2 linked regions of the Caenorhabditis elegans genome follow. The protein of the gene in region 1 interacts with the protein of each later gene in a pairwise test. Each region holds a gene or a part of one and is shown in the gene's direction. Other genes may lie near its edges. The genes, in order: odr-3 and odr-10.

What was found.
Region 2: the proteins of odr-3 (region 1) and odr-10 interact in a two-hybrid assay, tested with the Caenorhabditis elegans proteins (one study listed by BioGRID).

Annotation. Positions count from the first base shown.
Region 1 is NC_003283.11:13,242,797-13,253,387, reverse strand, and holds odr-3 (Guanine nucleotide-binding protein alpha-17 subunit), read left to right. Parts: upstream 1-3,851; 5' UTR 3,852-3,853; coding exon 3,854-4,014; intron 4,015-4,066; coding exon 4,067-4,372; intron 4,373-4,827; coding exon 4,828-4,956; intron 4,957-5,172; coding exon 5,173-5,302; intron 5,303-6,086; coding exon 6,087-6,359; intron 6,360-6,433; coding exon 6,434-6,505; 3' UTR 6,506-7,064; downstream 7,065-10,591. UniProt on the Caenorhabditis elegans protein: Guanine nucleotide-binding proteins (G proteins) are involved as modulators or transducers in various transmembrane signaling systems. This specific G-alpha subunit plays an important role in olfaction and in cilia morphogenesis.
Region 2 is NC_003284.9:6,861,902-6,870,969, reverse strand, and holds odr-10 (Serpentine receptor class r-10), read left to right. Parts: upstream 1-5,030; 5' UTR 5,031-5,034; coding exon 5,035-5,229; intron 5,230-5,276; coding exon 5,277-5,440; intron 5,441-5,686; coding exon 5,687-5,821; intron 5,822-5,863; coding exon 5,864-5,930; intron 5,931-5,972; coding exon 5,973-6,047; intron 6,048-6,091; coding exon 6,092-6,217; intron 6,218-6,261; coding exon 6,262-6,439; intron 6,440-6,488; coding exon 6,489-6,568; 3' UTR 6,569-6,655; downstream 6,656-9,068. Other genes in the region: C53B7.6 (uncharacterized protein), read left to right, coding at 2,201-2,338; nep-4 (Peptidase M13 C-terminal domain-containing protein), read left to right, coding at 7,556-7,641, 7,687-7,820, 7,891-7,979, 8,442-8,597, 8,642-8,968. UniProt on the Caenorhabditis elegans protein: An odorant receptor which affects chemotaxis to the volatile odorant diacetyl. Specifies AWA neuronal cell fate via the odr-7 pathway.

The DNA of each region.
Region 1 (10,591 bases):
CTCTCCCTTGACACCCTGGAAGAGATTTATCTCATCGTTTTTGTTTTTCGAGTTAACACACACACACACACACAAAAGAAGAAGCAGCAGCAGGAGAGGAACCACGTTTCATATTCTGATGATGGCTCAATGCTTCTTTGTGCTCCCATTATTCTCTTGTTTGCTCTCTGAGGCGGTGTAAACTATTTAATGAAAACTTGGTTAGATATTTGAATATTTCGATCATAGGACTCGTTCCACTAACATACTTTGCAGCAGCATAAGCCATGTGAAATTGATTACTTGAATTCAATTATAATAGTCTAGGAAAACCATTGAATCAATTCAGAAAGTTTTCTGATAATTCCACGTCATTTTCTTTTAGGTATGCACTCTTTTCTTTGTCCATCTGACACCTCTTTTCTTGGTGTAAACAATCCTTTTTCGAGATGTGCCATGTGATTTCGATTTTGAAGTTTTTGTTTCCTATTTCAACCTGCTCTTTTCTTAATACTAAATTTTAAAATTTGGTCCAAATGTCTCAGAACAGTTTGACAATTCGACATTGATTTTTTTTTCATTTTTAGAAAACAAATCTATGGTGGTAATTTGAAGTTGTGTTGTTACTATTAGATTAGTTTCACAATTCCATCAAATCCTATTTCAAAATCTCTTCTTCCGAGTATCCCTGCTCTTCGATTACCTACTGTAATCCGTGAAAGCAGTGCTCGCAAGCTATTGTCTTGATTCGCTGTGAAGGATTACATGCCACATAAATCTGCTACAAAAATTGTGGCAAAGAACGTCTATCGAAATTATTCTGATTCATACTCTCACTCTCGGGGGAGAAATATTTTCATTTCTTTTTGATTTCGAAATTTTTTTGATAGGTTGTGTTCTGCTCATCCAGCAGGATATTCTCTAGAAATGAGCAATTGTTATATTGATTTTTTGGAGATGGAGTTCCATTAATGGAAAGAGTTCACTTGAAAAACTCAGAATAAGACCAAATGCTAAACCAGCACAATAAAAAACGAAAATAAATCGAGAAAGAACCCTTTTTCAATAACGCAATTTTCCATTTGAATTTCCTCCGAAAGAACCACTGCAAGACCAATTAGCAACTCGCTCCTTTCATTGTAGAACTAATGAGATTTAATGTGGATCTTGGAAAAAAATCAAGCATTTTTTCGTGATATCTCAACATAGTAGATTTTTAAAAATAGTGTTTCCTTTGACTGTATTCCCATTGACCGTTGGAACTTATTTCAATAAGTTTTTCATTTTTCCCGCCGATTCTTTTCATAAAAATTGTGTTAATCTACTAACTTGTTCACTGATCTTTGAATAATTAGCATGTACCCCAGTGTTTTCCGTGTCTGCTTCAGCCCCAGAAGGCTTTTATTGTAAAGTATTCGAAACAAATTATGCTTTCCGAGCGACAAAACACATTTTTTTAAGAATGAAAACTTGGCGTCTTCATCTTACTTTATCCTACTTTCTTACTTTCAGAGAAACTTCCAATTTTTTTTTCACATTTTGTAGCCATGTGGGTTTTCGAGCTCCTTGATAGAATTATTCAATTACACGTCATTTTTGTGTTTCATTATTCGGGTTAAACGTCTAAAGAGATCAGTGTTCTAGTTGTAGACATGAGTTCAGAACGTACGTAATAAACACTATTCCCAAGTTGGATGTCTCCAATATTCTTTTGTTAGACTTCCAGCTGATAATTTTATGTCTAGAAATGAGTTACTCGTAATTAAAATGTGTTGATTGCCCAATAGATTGTATGATTTTTGTGAAGTAATAGGTAATTGCCACCTATAATTTTCAAAACCGAGACATACTTATTTGGTAATTCAGTTTGGTAATTCAGCAAGTTTTAAAATATAATTAAATTAATATTTCTTATTCCAAAATATATTTCGAATTCCAAATTTCTAATTTTATAAAACTAGATTATTTTACTCAATCGCCCACGTTGTGTTGACTTTCATATCTCAATATCATATTCTCAATTCCTTAATCTTATTCTCACAACCAACGTCCAGTGTTACCTGTCCACTTGCCTTTTCCATCTCAATTCCTTCACTCATTCGGTGACTCTCACGTCTCTAAGGAGAAAATACGAAAGCAAATATACTCAAGTCTTTTTTCCGCTTTCTTGGTTGAATGACTGAAATTTTTTAGTTATTATCTGTATTTTCCGGATCACCCAGCTGAAGGAACTGATCGTAGTATTTTGTAATTTTTAAACAGAAAGGTGTAGGAGGCGTCTTCTACCTAATTCTGATTCATAAATGTTTTTAATGAAATCCGAACGACAATTCATGTTGGTTTCAACTACAATCATTCCTCTAGAACAAATCCTTTTGTACTTATGTTCTTGTTTTTTGATACTCCATTTTTACCCTCTCACCACGCCCATTTTAAAATATAATTTTCTTCCTGTTAACTAACATAATTAAAAAATTAAATTATCATGTGATATGTTTCACAACCTTTTTTTCAATAACTATTTTATTGAATTTTTAGTCATTCATGTGACGTTGTCTAGGAGACACCTCGTGGTTTTTGTCTCTCACGCCCCTTTTCTTCGATTTTTTTTGTAGGTACAAAATACAAACAGTAAATAAACCATTGAAAAACCATCGAAAAAAACAGTTGTATATATTAAGTTTAAATATATCGAGAAAAAGTGTTCCTGAAAATTTCACCTGTTGTTGAACATTCAATAAAGAAAAGTGTGCGATAGATATATTTAAATTTAAGAGATCGATAGTGTAAATAATTGTTGGATTTATTCCCGTTTTGTGGCTTATCAGCTCTTTGTTCGGTCTGAAAAAATGCTATAAAAGTTTTAGAAACGCTTTGGTATTCAAGAAAAAAGTGTTATCAAAAAATCACTCAAGCCTTGCTTTTGTCACCAAATATGAAAAACTCGTAAATGATTTTGTACGGGTTTATAGTAATTAAGTAGTAAATACATTTTTTAAAACGATTTATTTCCAACTCTGAAAATTTAAAAAACTAGTATGAATATTCACGTCCTTGTTTTGAATATGTTTACATGGTGATCGATTTTTTTTGGCGTAAAGTTGGATGGGACACTTTTTAATTCTAGGAATTTTATTCTTGATTGTTGTTCTTTAGCAATCTACATCGAGTTTTTTTTTTAATTTTCTCGGTTTTCACATTTTGGTGTATATTGAACAATTCAAACTAAAAATCTTCCCAAATCTCAGTCCATCTTCAAGAAATATTAATCGAAATTATCAGTCTTTACGATCTATCAACATTGTTATATTTTGCTCTCCATTCTGATCACAAAGAAAGCCAAATGTTTTCTCTGTTCATTTCCTAGATTTCCTGAGTTTGTAGTAGGTGCACTTGCCTTCTCCCCAGCTTCTTCTTCATCTTCTCGACTGCAACGATACAAATCGTTTGGCGCCGACAGAAGGATCGTGGTGTCTTGTGACGCACTTACTCTAACACAATCCATTCTCCACCCACCTTTTACCTCCATCCATCTTCTTCTTCTTCTCTTTTTCTATTGATATTTGCTCTTATTCGAGTGTAGGTTATCAACGCTAATCCCCATCGAACAATACAGGCATTTTGTCGTCGTCGACGCCGTTTTCTTCTTCTTCGTCGTCGTCTTTGACTTTGGATTTATGAAGGCGACGGAGCCGGCGATGTAAGCTAAGTGCAGTTGATATACGAGCAGATAAGATTATCTCTTTTCTTCAACTTTTACTCCATTTACCTCCAATCTTTATACTTCAAATGCATTTGTGTATTACTCTTTTTTTATTGTTCTGTTATTCCGATATTTCAAATCAATTACTCATAGATCATTGTTTTTTTAGATATGGGCTCATGCCAGAGCAATGAAAATTCGGAAGGTAACGCGAGGAACAAAGAAATTGAAAAACAATTGAATGCGGATAAGCGAGCTGGAAGTAGTATTGTTAAGCTTTTGCTACTTGGAGCAGGAGAATGTGGAAAATCTACAGTTCTGAAACAGATGCAGTATGTTGAATCTAGGACTTTTTCGCATCTTCTAATTGGTTTTATTGTTCAGAATTCTTCATAGCAACGGATTCACAGAAGAAGAAGTAAATGAAAAACGAGCAATTGTTTACAATAATACTGTTTCTGCAATGTGCACAATTTTAAGAGCAATGGACGGAGTTCTGCATTTACCGTTGGAAAATGGACAAAAAGAAGCAGAAAAGGCAATAGTTATGAAAGTACAGGAAAATGGAGAAGAAGGAGAAGCACTGACAGAAGAAGTTTCGAAAGCAATTCAATCGTTATGGGCAGATCCTGGCGTGAAGAAAGCATTTGAAATGCGTAGCGAATATCAACTTCCAGATTCTGCTAAATAGTAAGAAATTTGTACAGTAGCGTCAAAATTACATTCATTGGAAGAAATTGGTTTAAAAATTGATATTTAAGTTTTCTAGAAACATCGACAAAAGTTGAGAGTGCGCTTAAGGGTTTAAAATAATTCTGAAATTCATTTTTATACGTTTCTAACATTTTTTATTTTGACTTCTGCTGCTAATGTAGACTCGTCTCAAATTAAAAGATAATTTGAAGAGTATTGAAGAATTTTTTTGAAAAAATCTTAATTTTTTATCTTTTTTCTTCAAAATTGTGCAAACAAAATTTTAACATTTCTTATCCAAAAAAATACAGTACGAAAATCGTTAATCATTAAAAATTGTTTTGCACAACAAATGCCGCGACGTGGCACTAATGTTCCTGTTCACTTCTTATTTAATTAGTCATATTCCCAGTTATGTAACTCTCTCCCTTTACACAAAATTGAATTTTCAGTTTTCTGGATAATTGTCAGCGTATATCTGAACCTGGGTATCGGCCAAACGATCAAGATATTCTTTATTCTCGAGTGGCAACAACTGGTGTCGTAGAAGTTAAATTTAAGATCAAGGAGCTTGACTTCCGGTTAGTTTTGCCATTTTTTCTTGATTCACTTTTCCCAGAGCAAAAAACAAAATGAGCTGGGGTTTTCACCGAGTCTCCATAGCAACACTATTTTCTTATGTATTCCTTTGTTGATGGTGACAATTGGATTTAGCTGAAATTAAAGAAACCGAGGAAAGGTGGAATGAAAAGATGAAGGGAATAAATGAATATTGATGTTTTAATCCTTGATTTCAGTGTATTTGATGTGGGAGGTCAACGATCTGAAAGACGAAAGTGGATCCATTGCTTTGATAATGTCGAATCTATTATTTTCATTACTGCTATTTCCGAATATGATCAAGTTCTTTTCGAAGATGAAACGACGGTGAGTTTTGTTTCGAAATGTTCAAAAAAAAACTTATCGATGACCTGAGAGAGCAAACGCATTAATCTTCATTTTGTCTGCACTTATCTAGCATACCTGAAAAGTGTAGGCATCTCTTGTTCTTCTTAAATCCATTTCTGAGATTATTAATTGTAGTATATCAAAGCAATGTAGCTAGAGCATATACTATAACAAAATCATGCGAAGGTGTATAGCAGGGGCGTGCGGCAAATTTGCAGAGCTCGGCAAATTTTGAGATTTGTCGCACACCTCTGGTGTATAGTTTTACACCTTTGAAACTAGATTTGCGCTTGTTTTTGCAGTCAATCCATCACTGAGATTTACTGAATGTGGCCCTTTATAATAATTTAAATTTAATCAGTGGCAACAATAAATCAGTTGTGGTTTGAAAAATAGTATGCCGTGGTGAAAATAGTGAAAATGCAGCAATTCCGGGCACCGTTTTCAAGCCCGAGTTGCGATATTTCATTTTTTTTCTATCATTTTCCGTGACTTTTTTTCTTGAAAAATCTGAAAAGAGATAAGGAAATGCTGAAAAGAGATTTCGTCTATAAAATTATCAAATTTGGGAATCGTAGGCACAGGCTGCGCTAGTTTAACTTTTTATTGATGTTTCCTTTTTCGTGTTCTTTTCTCTTGAAGGCAAATCCAGACACACCGCAGCATTTTTCAATTTTCATCAAAAAAGTTAAACAGTAAAACATGGATTTTTTCTAATCGTCATTTTTTTTTGGCACACCACAATCCATCTCTGAAATTTCAGAACCGAATGATCGAGTCCATGCAGCTTTTCAATTCAATTTGTAATTCAACTTGGTTCCTTTCAACAGCAATGATTCTTTTTATGAATAAAAAAGATTTATTTATGGAAAAGATTCAACGAGTCAATATTACGACTGCATTCCCAGATTATGAAGGTGGTCAAAACTATGAGGAGGCCGTCTCGTTCATCAAGCAGAAATTTGCTGAATTGAACTTGAATCCTGATAAAAAGACAATTTATATGCATGAAACTTGCGCTACAGACACTAATCAGGTAGGTTATTGGTTTATTGGAATTTTAATTCTGAACTGATCTTCAAAAAAAAAAACTTAATTCCCAATTTTCAGGTACAACTTGTCATTTCGAGTGTTATTGATACAATTATTCAGAAGAATTTACAAAAAGCAGGAATGATGTAAAAAAACAATTCGATTTTTTTTTCATAATAACATATTGCCTACTCACTCATTTAATAGGATCCGATTCTGCAAGTAGGATTCTCCATATTTCACTTTTAATTTTTTGAAAATGATACTCTGCCCACTTTTTGATCTGAAACAAAGTAGGAGTTGGAAATTTTAAACAGCTAATGCAAAAGTGAGTCACGAATTTCCAATTCTTAATTTTTTTTTTCATCTTCACAATCCTTATCTGATCTCATTTTTTCCTCACATCCCAAAAATCACGAATATCATGTGCAACGTTGCAAATTGTTTTAAATCAAATGTTTTTCTCATAGGGAGCTCCATAATTTTTCAACCGATTATAACCCTTTACTACTCCAAACTTAGCTAATTCCTACGCTTTCCCATTTGTCTACTCCCATAGTTTTTTTCAGTTCCCCGTCATCTTCCGTTTTTTTCTTGTCGATTACTTTTGTCATTTTTTTATTTTATTTCTGGAAACTCAATTTTTGTGTGAATGCTGTAAAACATGCTTCAAAATTAGAGATGAACAATAACGAATAAATAAAATAAAAATAATAAGAAACAGAGAGCCCAATTAATCTATGAAACTGCGGATAGCTCATCTACCAGGCATATTTGAATTTAAAGCATCAAAGGACGTGGTTGACTCATTTTTACAATTTTTGTGAATCAGAAATGAGATACATTTCTTACTCTTTGTTTCTTGTGTTTGCAATGTTCAGCTTTTGATTATTTCTTCATGAACTGATGAAATATTGTTATGTATTGAGGCAGAACGAGGAGGCGAAGACGAGTAGTTTATTACATTACTAAACTAAGGAATAAATAAGTTAGTTCATAGAGTTCACGTTGTACGATCTTCTTAGCCACGTCGTGGGTCAATACACGTTGATACCCAACATCTCCCCTCTTCAATGACAAACGATTGCTGTGATCACGAGTATATCCACCGATGTCTTCTTGAAGTTCTTCTGGGGTTTCTTCCGGAACACGAAAATGTGCCCGTATATCCTCAGGGATTCAGCTAATCCTCGACACATGGTCCCTCGGTGTTCACATCATCCAATTGCGAGTTATCCAGTGCTACGTAGACCTCCTTATCCAGTGTTTCTTACACCTCCTTATCCAGTACTACTGACACCTCCTTCCCGTACCAATTTTGATGTCTTTCCTACCTTCACCTACAGTCTAAGACGATGCCTAAAAATTAGACCCACTCTTGAACCATCCAATACGGATATACTGATTCCGTCCGTTTACCAGCATCCAGACATTTCACTGTACCGGAGTTGCTGATTATGTGCCATACGTCCGACAAATATGTTCTGCTGAAAATAAAAAAGAGACAAAAGAGTAAAGGATTTGGTAAACTTATCACTCTTAGAAGCCAAACAGAGTTCGTATGGTTGAAATACAAAGTACAAAATAAAAGATATACAAAACAACTGACGCGATTTTACTTTTTTTTATTTGAACTGCAAATTGCAAGAAAAAATCCAAGGTCATTAATTAACTAGAAAACATTTCTCGTCCATTGCCGTTTAGAATGTTTCATTTCTCTCGGAACGGCATACAAGTTGTTTGTTATCTGAAGGTTGCCAAATCTTGATGAACACCCCCACCTTGATGAATTTGGATGGCTAGCACTGAACGGTACGTGGACCACTTTTTTGCGTACCCGAGAAATTACTTGATTCGTTGAAAATGAAAAAAAAACGATAATTTGATTATATCTTTATATTTGGTTCAGAAGAAGGAACACGTAGGAATTGAAGTATCGGATTTGAGGCGTAGTTGTGAAGAAACAACATCCTGCGTGGCTTCACATTGGCTTCCACGATGGACGCCGATCAGTGGAATGTTTTCAGAAAAATTGTTAGTAGAAGTATCACATTGCTACACACCTACTAGTCTGCCTACCGCCTATTCGCCTGCATTTCGGCTACACAGGTTATCTTTACGTGACTCGCGGTAGAGCTGGTAAAATAACTGAAGAGTAGAGGTATGTTTTGCGACAAATGTTTTTCTGAGTTTCGCTATTCAAAATTATAAGAATTGAAAGTTTTCATGTTTAAACTAGCAGAGGCGTCTCAAAATTTAATTTTACATGAAAGACCTCGTTCCCAGAGTTCTAATTTGGAAAATTTTGAATATACGCTTTTTATGTTTGCATCTTCACTTTTCAGCCTAATTCTTAAAATAACCTATTCTATCCTGCTTGACACCACCGTCACACATCTAGCAAAAAAATCATCTCGAAAAGTTCACTTTATCATTTTTCAAAATGGAAACGTTTGAAAAAAGAACGAGTCAACAAATTTTAAACATCTCTTTTTTTCAATCAGAAAATAGTTCCATTACTACTGAAGTTTGCTTTTGTGGATATCAATTAAATGGAAAGGACTGTTATTTTCAGGATTTGATAATAACTTCTATAACAAAAACACTGAACAAACATTAAGATCCGTTTGGAAAATGTATAAATAAATTGGATAATACCTTCAAACACGACACTTGAAAACTGCGTGTGTCAGCGAATTGAACCGTTAACTTGCAACAACAACAGTTTGAAACTCTGTCTCTCAATTGTTTCTATTGATGGTTATCAGTTGAAAAATGAAGAACTGGTAGTGTTCCTCTTCTCATCTTCTCCACGAAATGCGTGTCGTCCCGGGTGCCGGGTGGCACTCGGTTCCACCTCTCGTAGATCGGAGTAGTCGCATTACGAACAGACTGTTCGGAGCGAGACGATGAACATCGAAAAATTGAGAGAGAGCTCAATTGTTTATTTGTTTGTCGTCAATTTTCAATTTGTGCTCTCTGTGTTCCTCCGTTCATCTTGCTCCCTGTACCCTCGTGCCCACCACCATCCTGGCTCTGGCTTTCTCCGCAAATATTTTGTTTGCAACTTGTTCCTTTTTTCTGCGAAACAAAACTTTGTGATACGAACGGCGGGAGGGGGAGGTAAACTAGACCGGCTGACTGACCGTTCGTTTGTTTTAAATCCGCTTTGATCACTTTCACCTGGTTTTTATTCACTTCTGACCGATTATCTCCTGGTTTGGCATCTAGAAAGTTGTTTTTACAAGACAGTTACAAAAGCTCAAGAAACTTTATTTGTTTCAGGATGTTTGTAGGAAGAGTTCTTTAAAAATCACTACACTATCTTCTACAATACTGTGCTTCCGGAATTGAAACAATCCGATTCTCTGTATGTTTTTGAAATCTCATTGCAATGACAAAGCCTATGTCGAAACTTTGAAGATCGCTCAATTGCTAATTTTTCCGTAGCTTTGCTCACTTTGATTGAAAGCGTTTCAAAAGAAAAATAGTTTCATTTTTAAGTCATTCGAACTTTTGTCCTTTCCCTATTTGTCTCTGTTTGTTTTTTTTTTCTTTTCGGAAACACTTTGATAGTCTCCGATGCAACAAGTGCGTTTGCACTCTTCTCGCCCCTCGGACACTCTTCTCAAATCATGTTCTTTTTGTTTCATTCTTCTCACTCTCACTCTCTAAGTCACTTTCTCTACTGCTTTGAAACTTCCTACAGTATGCCTAATGCATCCGGTAGCTTCTTCCTCCTTCTTGTTCAAAAAGCATAGGGTCATAGACCTACTGTTGATTGTTTTGTTTACGGAGACTGAACACAGTTTTCGACGAAACTGAAACTTTTTTGTTTGGAAGACCGACCGGTTTGATTTGAAAGTGTGTATTTGTGAAGGTCAGCATTGGTGATGGTTTTGACCACCGTTCGAGATGCATATCTTCCCATTTCCTCATCAATTCTAGCTATCAAGTTTAGTCCACTTTCAGATTGTTTTTCGATATTTTCAACCTACATTCCGAAGTGGAGTAGTATAAATAGAAAAGCCAGTGGGAGTCTATATGTACAAGAAACCAAACAGGTGTGTTTCACAGTCGTATTTATGAACTATAACACCTTTTGATCACATATTCGAGCTTCAACTTCTCACTGATCTCTTAGTTAGCACCAATTTCCATACCGTTCCTTATCGGCGCAACACTTTTAGACATAGATTTAACATATCTCTATTTCTCCTTTAGTTTCTTACTTCA
Region 2 (9,068 bases), on another chromosome or scaffold:
TTTATGAGTACGAGTCGACTCCGTGAGTCTCAATGATTTCCGTTTTTAGTCGGATTTTCAAGGTATCCCGTTCTTCTTTTCTGCTTCATCTTCTACTACCGTTTTAAGTAGGATTGGCTCAAGTCTACGGAAGAGTAGAGCAAGCCTACAAAGAAGACGTCCAGGTCCTCGAAGGAGTAGCGCAAGTCTACGAAGGATTCACGCAGGTCTACGCAAGAGTGGATCAGGTCTACGTTAGAGTGGCACTAGACCATACTGGGAGTCCGATTTCCAATTGGATCCTCGGAAAACCTTGTATTTGCACAAATAGCCAGAAGATCCGATATTTCTATCTTACCGAGCTCCGGGTTAATCGTCGTCAGGTATTTCAAGATGAAGCGTATAAGGAGAGGATTTTTCTTTAGTTATGCCGCGCGTTTTGCAATTGCGTAGCTGTGTATTCCGTGTAGACTTTATCGCCCACTTTTTCGATTTTCATGACATCCGGTTCAACCTTTTTTCTTCTCACGCTATCGACGACGCAGATTACGTATGAGTTGCGCAAGTTTACGAAGCAATCGCTGCAGTTTATGTAGATGGTTAGACAGGAACGGAGTGGAATTCCGGCGCTATTCATTCTGTTTTCAGTGTTTATCCTTTTGTAGATAGACGGACGACCTAACGTTATATCGAGTTTACGCACAAAGACGGCTATTCGTCGTCTGCTACATCAAGGCTCGGCTTTTATATACGGAGATCGATTGGTCCGGTATACGTAAAATTAGCTCTATATTTCATCGCTTTCGTTGCTCACGCGATTCCCAGGTATTTTAATGTCGAATCATATTCCGTCACCTACCATTACGTAAGAGATATGCAGGGCTATGTAAGAGTAACTCAGGTTTCGTAAGAGTTTTCTCAAGACTGGGGAGGATACTCGCAGGTTGTTGAGTAATTTGTTTTCCAATTAGCTATTCTCCTTGTCAGGACTTATTCAGGTGTGAGTCGAAGTAGCCCGAGACGATTGGCTCTAGTATGGATACTTTACGACAGTTTCAGACAGATTGTGGCCCGCCTTTAATGGGAATTATTTCTACTGCACAGGTTTCTACTGGGTAACGATCAGTGTTTTACTGAGATGGGTATTGAAGGGCTGTTATCTGGTTAGAAATTTATGTGGTGGACATATCGGTTTTTCACCAATCGGATGGACGAGACACTAAGTCTTTTACATCTTTAGCCCCCGGCTTTGCTTGTTCTACCCTATACCACACTAAATCCCAAACAATAAACCCGTAATACCATATAACGCGAGTTTAACATTTTAGAGCGGAGTTTGATCGGGAAAACTAATTCTCGGAGAGCGAAGCGAAACTAGAATTTTATGTTTTCCCCGAGAAAGCGGAGCGAATATCGTAGCGCCAGCTTAAAGGCGCATCGACTTTAGTGAGCGATGGGTCCCGACGCGACGAAATCTTTCCTCGGCGCACCGGCGGATTGTCATCATTCTACGTGTTGGTTTCCCACCCTCCCGCCCCACATTTCTACTATTCCAAAGTGCGAAGCACGTACGCTATGTTTTCCCCCATGAGGCCGTCTGTCATATTCTGAATATGTCGCTTTTAAACGGTAAGTCGCTGTTCAGCAGGTGAGTTCATAGTTTCCGACATGTATGACCAGAGCGGGCAGTCGGTGTCGGTCTACTACATACGCAGGTCGACCCTTGTGCCTGTTTTTGGTGGTACCAGGAAGCTTTTTCATGTTTAAATGGAAAGGAAAAAATTACGGATTTGGTTCACGGAACCAGTTTACATTTTCGCCTTAATGATCTTTATTTGCAGCCACGTTTGTTTTGAGATGAGGATCCCAGTACGTGCCGTTGGACGTTAGACGGAATATTCTCCAACCGTAAGATCTCACTAGATTGAGCTTCGTCTATAATTCGAAGTTTGATCGACTTTTCTTTTGCCTCACAAGAGTTCGAATTGCCCGGTAGAGGTTTGTGGTAGAAATATCAAAACCCCAGTAATTTACGAGAAAATTTTATAATATGCATTAATTTTTCATAATTGACTCATAAATCAATACCAGTCTGAACACGGGCTCAAGTAAGTCGATTACAGTTTATTCTAAGAAAATCGAGATGATTTAGAGGTCCCTGCAGACCAATTGTGAAATGGCCATCTATTTTTCAAATTAATGTAATGTGTCATTTCAGATTATGTATTATATTGCTTCAGCCGACAGTCAACAGAGTCAACGAGGCAGATCACAGGCCGAAGCCCCAGAGTTCTTGACAGAGAAGTGCCCATTCGTTGGAGTGAAGAGCACCCTCGAGCAAGTCGGGACGCCGAGATGACATCGTTTCTCCGGACCCATGGAAGAGAAGAAAAGACGAAGTTTTAGGAACATTGCTCGAAACCGCTCGGTCCGTAAACGACGAAGCCTATTCGTTGCAGTGCTGACGGTAGCAGGGAAGTTGTTTACATAAAATATTAAGAACCGTTAAATTATTTAATAGACACAGTAATTCGGTTCATAGTTTTCAGTTTTCCCCCACGTCAGACACCATCGATCAGTCACCATGTGCCATCGCCGAGCGGACTCAGGCCGTACAATACGAGGAACACACCATACGAGGAACGATCGGACCGTCTACGATACTACTCGGATATATTAATTACCCGTTTTGAAATCTTCGAGGCCCGTTTATCAAATTCTAATTTGGGCGCCACGCGCCCAAATCCCCATTATTTATCACATTTATCACGTCCTATACCACACTAAATCCCAAACAATAAACCCGTAATACCATATAACGCGAGTTTAACATTTTAGAGCGGAGTTTGATCGGGGAAAACTAATTCTCGGAGAGCGAAGCGAAACTAGAATAACTTTTCTTAACCAATACATATTCTACTGTCTATTAATGTGTTTTCTATAGTTTTATTTTCAATAACGTTTATGAAAAAAGGAAAGACACTGTGTCAGTACTACTTTCGTTAAATCTTCACGGTTTGTGCAGATGTCCCTAACATGTTGTCGTCATACACAGGGAATTGAACCAGTGGGTGCCGGCACGCTAATCGAACGCGCTAACCGCAAGGCCACCAGTGTCAAGAGTTTATAATGCGAACCTTTTGTTCATATTCTTCGACACTTCAGTAGTCCCTTGAAAATTTCAATTAAAGGATATTAAGCAGTTTTTTGAAAGGTTGGGTAACTGTAATTTTTGTAAATACCTATACCAATGAATAAATGATGTTTCATTACAGAAAACCGCTAGATCTATACTTTCCAAGTATCAAGTACAGAATTACATCTGACAAGGGAAGTATTTCAACTTAATCCCGGACTTCTGAATGAAACCTATGTCATTTCGAAGAAGACTCTTTAAGTAGGTCCCTACAAAACAATTAGCGGCAGAGGAGCACTTTGACCTGGCAAAATATCGCTCTGAAAACTTTTCAGTGCATTTTTTCACAACTTTCAAGGCCCGTAGAATGGCTCCAAATGTGAATTTTTGTAGATTTTTGATAATTTCTAGGATGCTCAGGGGCCGGAGAGCACTCGGAATTTTTTTGGAATTTTTTAAACTTTTCGAAAAAATCTGAAATTTTTTGAATAAGTCCATGACAAAATTTTTCAGTGAATATAATTTTTTTTTTAAATTCAGAAAAGTTGTCAAAGTTATTTAATATCAAAATTGGGTGTTTTTACACAATGAAAAAATTTTTGAGATTTTTCGGAGTTGCAAAAACAAATTTTGGAAAAAATCGGCACCCGGAGTCGAACCCCAGACTTAAGAAATATTAATCAAACTCGCTAACCACTCGGTCATTCGATGACACTTTTTTTGTAAATGAAATAAATGACAAAAACCAGAAAACGTGACACTTTGATATCTACTTAAATATATAGGGACGTGCGAAATAGCATTGGAAAATGAGAGGACGCAGAGAAAAATTTTCAGAGCGACTTTTTTCCAGTTCAAAGTGCTCCTCTGCCGCTACATTTTTTGGAGGGGCCTACTTAAAGAAGGAGTATCGTCAATGGGAAAATTGTTTTAAAATGTAGTATTTGTACTCAAACTTTCAATTATCGCAAAAGAAAAACGGAAAAAATCCGTTAACATTCAGCATTTAGCCGTTGAAATCGACGAAAGTGGCTGAAAGTGGCTGAATTTGAATTTCGCGCGCAAATGAATCCTAGGCCACCACGCAACTTTTAGGCCATATTCGTAAACAAAATATTGATTTAAATGTAATTTTTCGAACTTTAATTCGCTTTTCTTTCTGGAAAAGTTCAAGAAAACTGGGAAGAAGAAATTGTATTGAGTATTTTTTCAAAGGACAATACCAAAACAAATAAAAATTCGAAAGATCGTCGTGGCCTAGGATTTCTGTAGTTAATTTTTAAAGATTTTTTCGACTTAAAATGCTGAATCTAAGCGGATTCTCCCGTTTTTGTTTTGTAATATTCTTAAGTTTGAGCACGAATACTACATTTTAAAACAATTTTCCCATTGACGATACTCCTTCTTTAAAGGGTCTTCTTCAAAATGGCATAGGTTTCATTCAGAAGTCCGGGATTATGTTGAAATGCTTCCCTTGTGAGTAGGCAGTAAATACATCCAATTTCACATAATCGAAGAGAGATCATTCATTTAGGATACATTGTGTTGTGATTCATGACATTTACTACAACACAACCAGCTGATGTGTGTGATTCAGGTTTTAATTGTAGCATCTTGTGATTGGAATAATAAATTCAATATATTTTCCCAATTCTGAATTTGTGGATACAAACGTATTATTTTTAACTGAATACCTCGTGAAATCAGATTTCAGATTTTGAAAACAATATATCTGACTATAAGTTGCGTATGTAGACAAATTCCAGGAAAATAATGGCTCAAACGACACGCCCCTGGCTTCAAGTTACTATAAAATAGGTTAGGAACAAAGCACATATAACCATGTATTCAGTTTAATTAATTTTTTGTTGGCGGTGGCATGAAATTCTCATAATTTCATTAAGATACCTTACAGCTCCATGTCGGGAGAATTGTGGATTACCCTAGTTGACACAGCGGACATTGTCGGCGTCACCCTCACCTTCTGTGTCAACATTGTTCTTCTCGGACTTCTGAAAACACGTGGAAAAAACTTGGGCACTTATAAATATCTCATGGCGTTTTTCTCAGTATTCTCGATTTTTTACGCCATCATCGAGTTCATATTACGACCTGTAGGCTAAACTGTTGAACTTGAAGTTAATAATGTATTAAATTTCAGATAATGCATATTGAGAACACCACTTTCTTTTTGATCTCAAGGAAAAGATTCAACTACTCCACCAAACTTGGAAAAATCAACTCTGCGTTTTACTGTGCTTGTTTTGCCACCAGTTTTGTTGTCTCAGGAGTTCACTTTGTTTATCGATATTTTGCAACTTGCAAGTAAGTACAATTGTAAAACGGGCTAAGTTTCGTATTTCTTTTGTTAGTATTGCTCTATTAGTACAGTATCCAATAGGAACAGCATTATAAATAAACTGCAAATGATCGGTTGAAAAAATGACTTGTGGAACCTTGCTGTAAAGGTGCAGCACTAATGTAGGATGCAAAACTTGTAGGGGTGGACTATTAGCTCTCTATTATTAGTATACATACTTTTAGATTAAAATACTATAACACCCTTCACAGACCGAATCTACTTCGTTTGTTCAACTTGCCAACTCTTCTACTTTGGCCACTTGGTTGCAGTGTACCCGTGACAATGTGGGCTAGTGTCTCATATTTTTTGTATCCAGATACCGAGTACACGGAAGCGGCTGTCACGTATGAGATCTATGAATTGTAGCTAGGAATTTTTTTTTTCAGCAATGTACTAAATAACCACTATAACTGGATCAAAAAGGAGAATGTATCGTACATTGCATACGTCTATGTAAGTTGATAACACGGAAACCATCAAACTAGATACTTTCAGTACCAATACGAAAACGGAGTAAGGCATATCTACCTCAAAAACTTGCTTGGATGCTTTGTTCATTACTTTGTCATGGTAAGCGGAGATGTTCCTAACATAGTTATTCAACAAGGTTTTAGTCGATGACGTTTGTTGTGATGTTCTACTGCGGATATGCCACGTGGAAAACTATGAATGAACACAAGGATGTATCTGATAGAACTCGAGCGCTACAGAAACAACTTTTCAAAGCTTTAGTTCTTCAGGTATCCCGATCTGAAACTAGAAACATGGTATAAGATGAATTCAGACACTCATCCCAACTATCTTCATGTACGCCCCAACTGGAGTCATGTTCATCGCACCGTTTTTTGACGTGAATTTGAATGCAAACGCCAATTTCATTGTGTTTTGCTCATTTCTGTACCCGGGACTCGATCCACTCATTCTGATTTTGATCATTCGTGATTTCCGAAGAACAATATTCAGTAAGAAGAAAACATATATATTACAAATTGACAAATTGCAAAATTTCAGATTTCTTGTGTGGAAAGAAAAACAGTGTTGATGAATCCCGCTCGACAACAAGAGCCAATTTGTCTCAAGTTCCGACGTGATGAATGTTTTTTGAAATACTGAGAATCGCACAATTGAGAAATTTTAATTTCATTGGACTTGTCATGAGAATGAAGTCATGTTATACAGTTTCAGGATTAAAAAGGATTAAAGGACGATCCGTTCTTCAAGTGCTATGCACTGCGGATCTGGGATTCAGGTACACTGCCTGGTGGTGATCCCTCTAAAAAAAACTTTTACTATATTTGGGCATTTTAGAACTAAAAGAGAAGTTAGAAGCAACTGACTTGTAGATAATGAAAAAGCTGAAAAAAGCTGAAAATCTATAAAAAGAGAACAAATTAGTCTGCTTTCGGTATGTTACCTGCTTATGATCTATGCTTGGCTCAATTTCTGAAAAGTAATCAGACTCTCAGTTTTTTTTTACTTCATCAAGTTGACTACAACATTTAAAAGTAACATGTTTGATGATGGTCGTTTTTATATTAAAAAAAAGGAATGAAGAGATATAGAAAATTATTTGAAAGTGGTAATAAAAATTGAAAACTTAATTTTGATGCTTTTGTGGTGTACAAATTCTCCAACGCTTTAAATGGAAGTTGTTATTATAAAAATGATATTAACTTTTAGGAGCTGTTAGTACTAGAAAGTAGAAACTAGAAAGCACTAGAAAATTTGGCTGATGATACCTTTTTTGTACTTGGCTTCTAAACCAAAATTAAAAAATTAAGAAAGAAACAACAAAATATTTTTAAAACATTCACCATTAAATTTTTGATTGGAACATGGAGCAATTGAACATTGTACGTACAATACAGTAATCTAAACATTTGAACACAAACATTAGGATAGCGGTTTCTTGAATTTGACAAAAGGTATGAGGAATTGAAAAAAAAAACATGAAAAACGTGAAAACTTTCCTTTGATGTCTTTGTTGAATCTTCATTTTCTAATTTTTTTCTATAGAAGTTGTTGTTACCAGAGTCCTATTTATTCGCAAATGTTGCCAGTTACTGTCTTTTTCCGAAATGTGGCTGATAATACTTTTTTGTTTTCTACCGACCCAAAATGCGTATGAACATCCGTTCGATTTTATTGAAAATGCGCTAGAGAAGTACACAATCAACAGTGGAAACCCGCAATATTTATATGTTTTCAGAATAGTGGACTGGAAATCAGATCCCTGTGATGATTTTTACCGTCATGCTTGTCCAGTTGGCAGCATTGAAGACATTATAAAAGTATCGATGCAACCTTTAAAAGATGCATTAAATCATTCGTGGAAGCAGAAAGGTAATAATATTTTTCCTGGCCTGGCGAAGAAGGTATGTACTTTCAAGTTGAATTGAGTTTTTGAGTTCAGGCCAACGAAACGAGGGAAAAGTCTATAATATCAACTTTCGAAGATCCCACATATGCTGCCACTTTTTTTGCAAATTATTATTTATCTATGTAAGTCTGGTATGAAATAAAAAACATGTACCAAGTGTGAGGATCTTGTAGAAACGAACCCTAACGTGAGAACAAGCTAAATGTTGAAGGGAAACTAGCTAATTCACGAATAAATTCAGTTTTCCAACAACTAATCAGTAATTACACTTTAGATGCAATTCCTCCTATCTTCCAACTCAGTTGTTCACTTCCAAGTTTGAGAAAATAATCACTAACTTGTACAAAGAAGAAACATTCAGTTTGTACAATTTGAAAAGTTTACGGTGTAGTATGACCACTGAGGACATAACAGTATTACTCACACAGTACTTTAATACGTCGTCGGAAAGTTTTGTGAGTGTTGCTATTTTTTATGAAACTTGTCAGATTGTTTTACAAATCTCTGTGGAACTTTATTTTGAAGCACAGAGCAATTTGTTTCTAATATTACATACAAAAAAAAACAAAAAAATAAGATTTCAGTATGACTATCAATATAGATTTATCAATTATGTCACTTTTTACGACGGAATGTTGCAACCATTATATTACCACGTTGAAGCAAATGTTACTGACGGAATTAACGAAATTCACCAAATGATGGAGGACATGGTAGAATTAGGGAATATTTGGCTTGAGGTAAACACTGAATGTGTGATTTTATACCAATTTAACATTTTTAGAAAACTCCGTGGGTTATTAACAATAACCTAACCGAGGAAATGAAGAATATTACAAATGCAATTAAAATGCCAGTGTCACTGACCAAATATACCAACTTTATTTACAATTTGCTATCTCCAATAGAAACTGATTTTCTGAATTGTGTTTCCGAATTTGAAGGAATTCAAAACAATACTCTATTTTGCTTATTTTATTCAGCGAAGATATTCGTACGCACACGTGGTAGCTATTTCATAGATGATAACGGCTACAATGCAGAAGGAACAATTTACTTTGGTTTTCCAAATTATTATCATACTACATATGGAAACTGGAGAGCATCAAAAGTAAGCCTAATACTTTTATGTTTTGTATCTTTTGTCTGTCAAATTTTTTGAACCATTCAAGCAATAAAAATACAAGTAGCGTACATTATTCTCTATTACT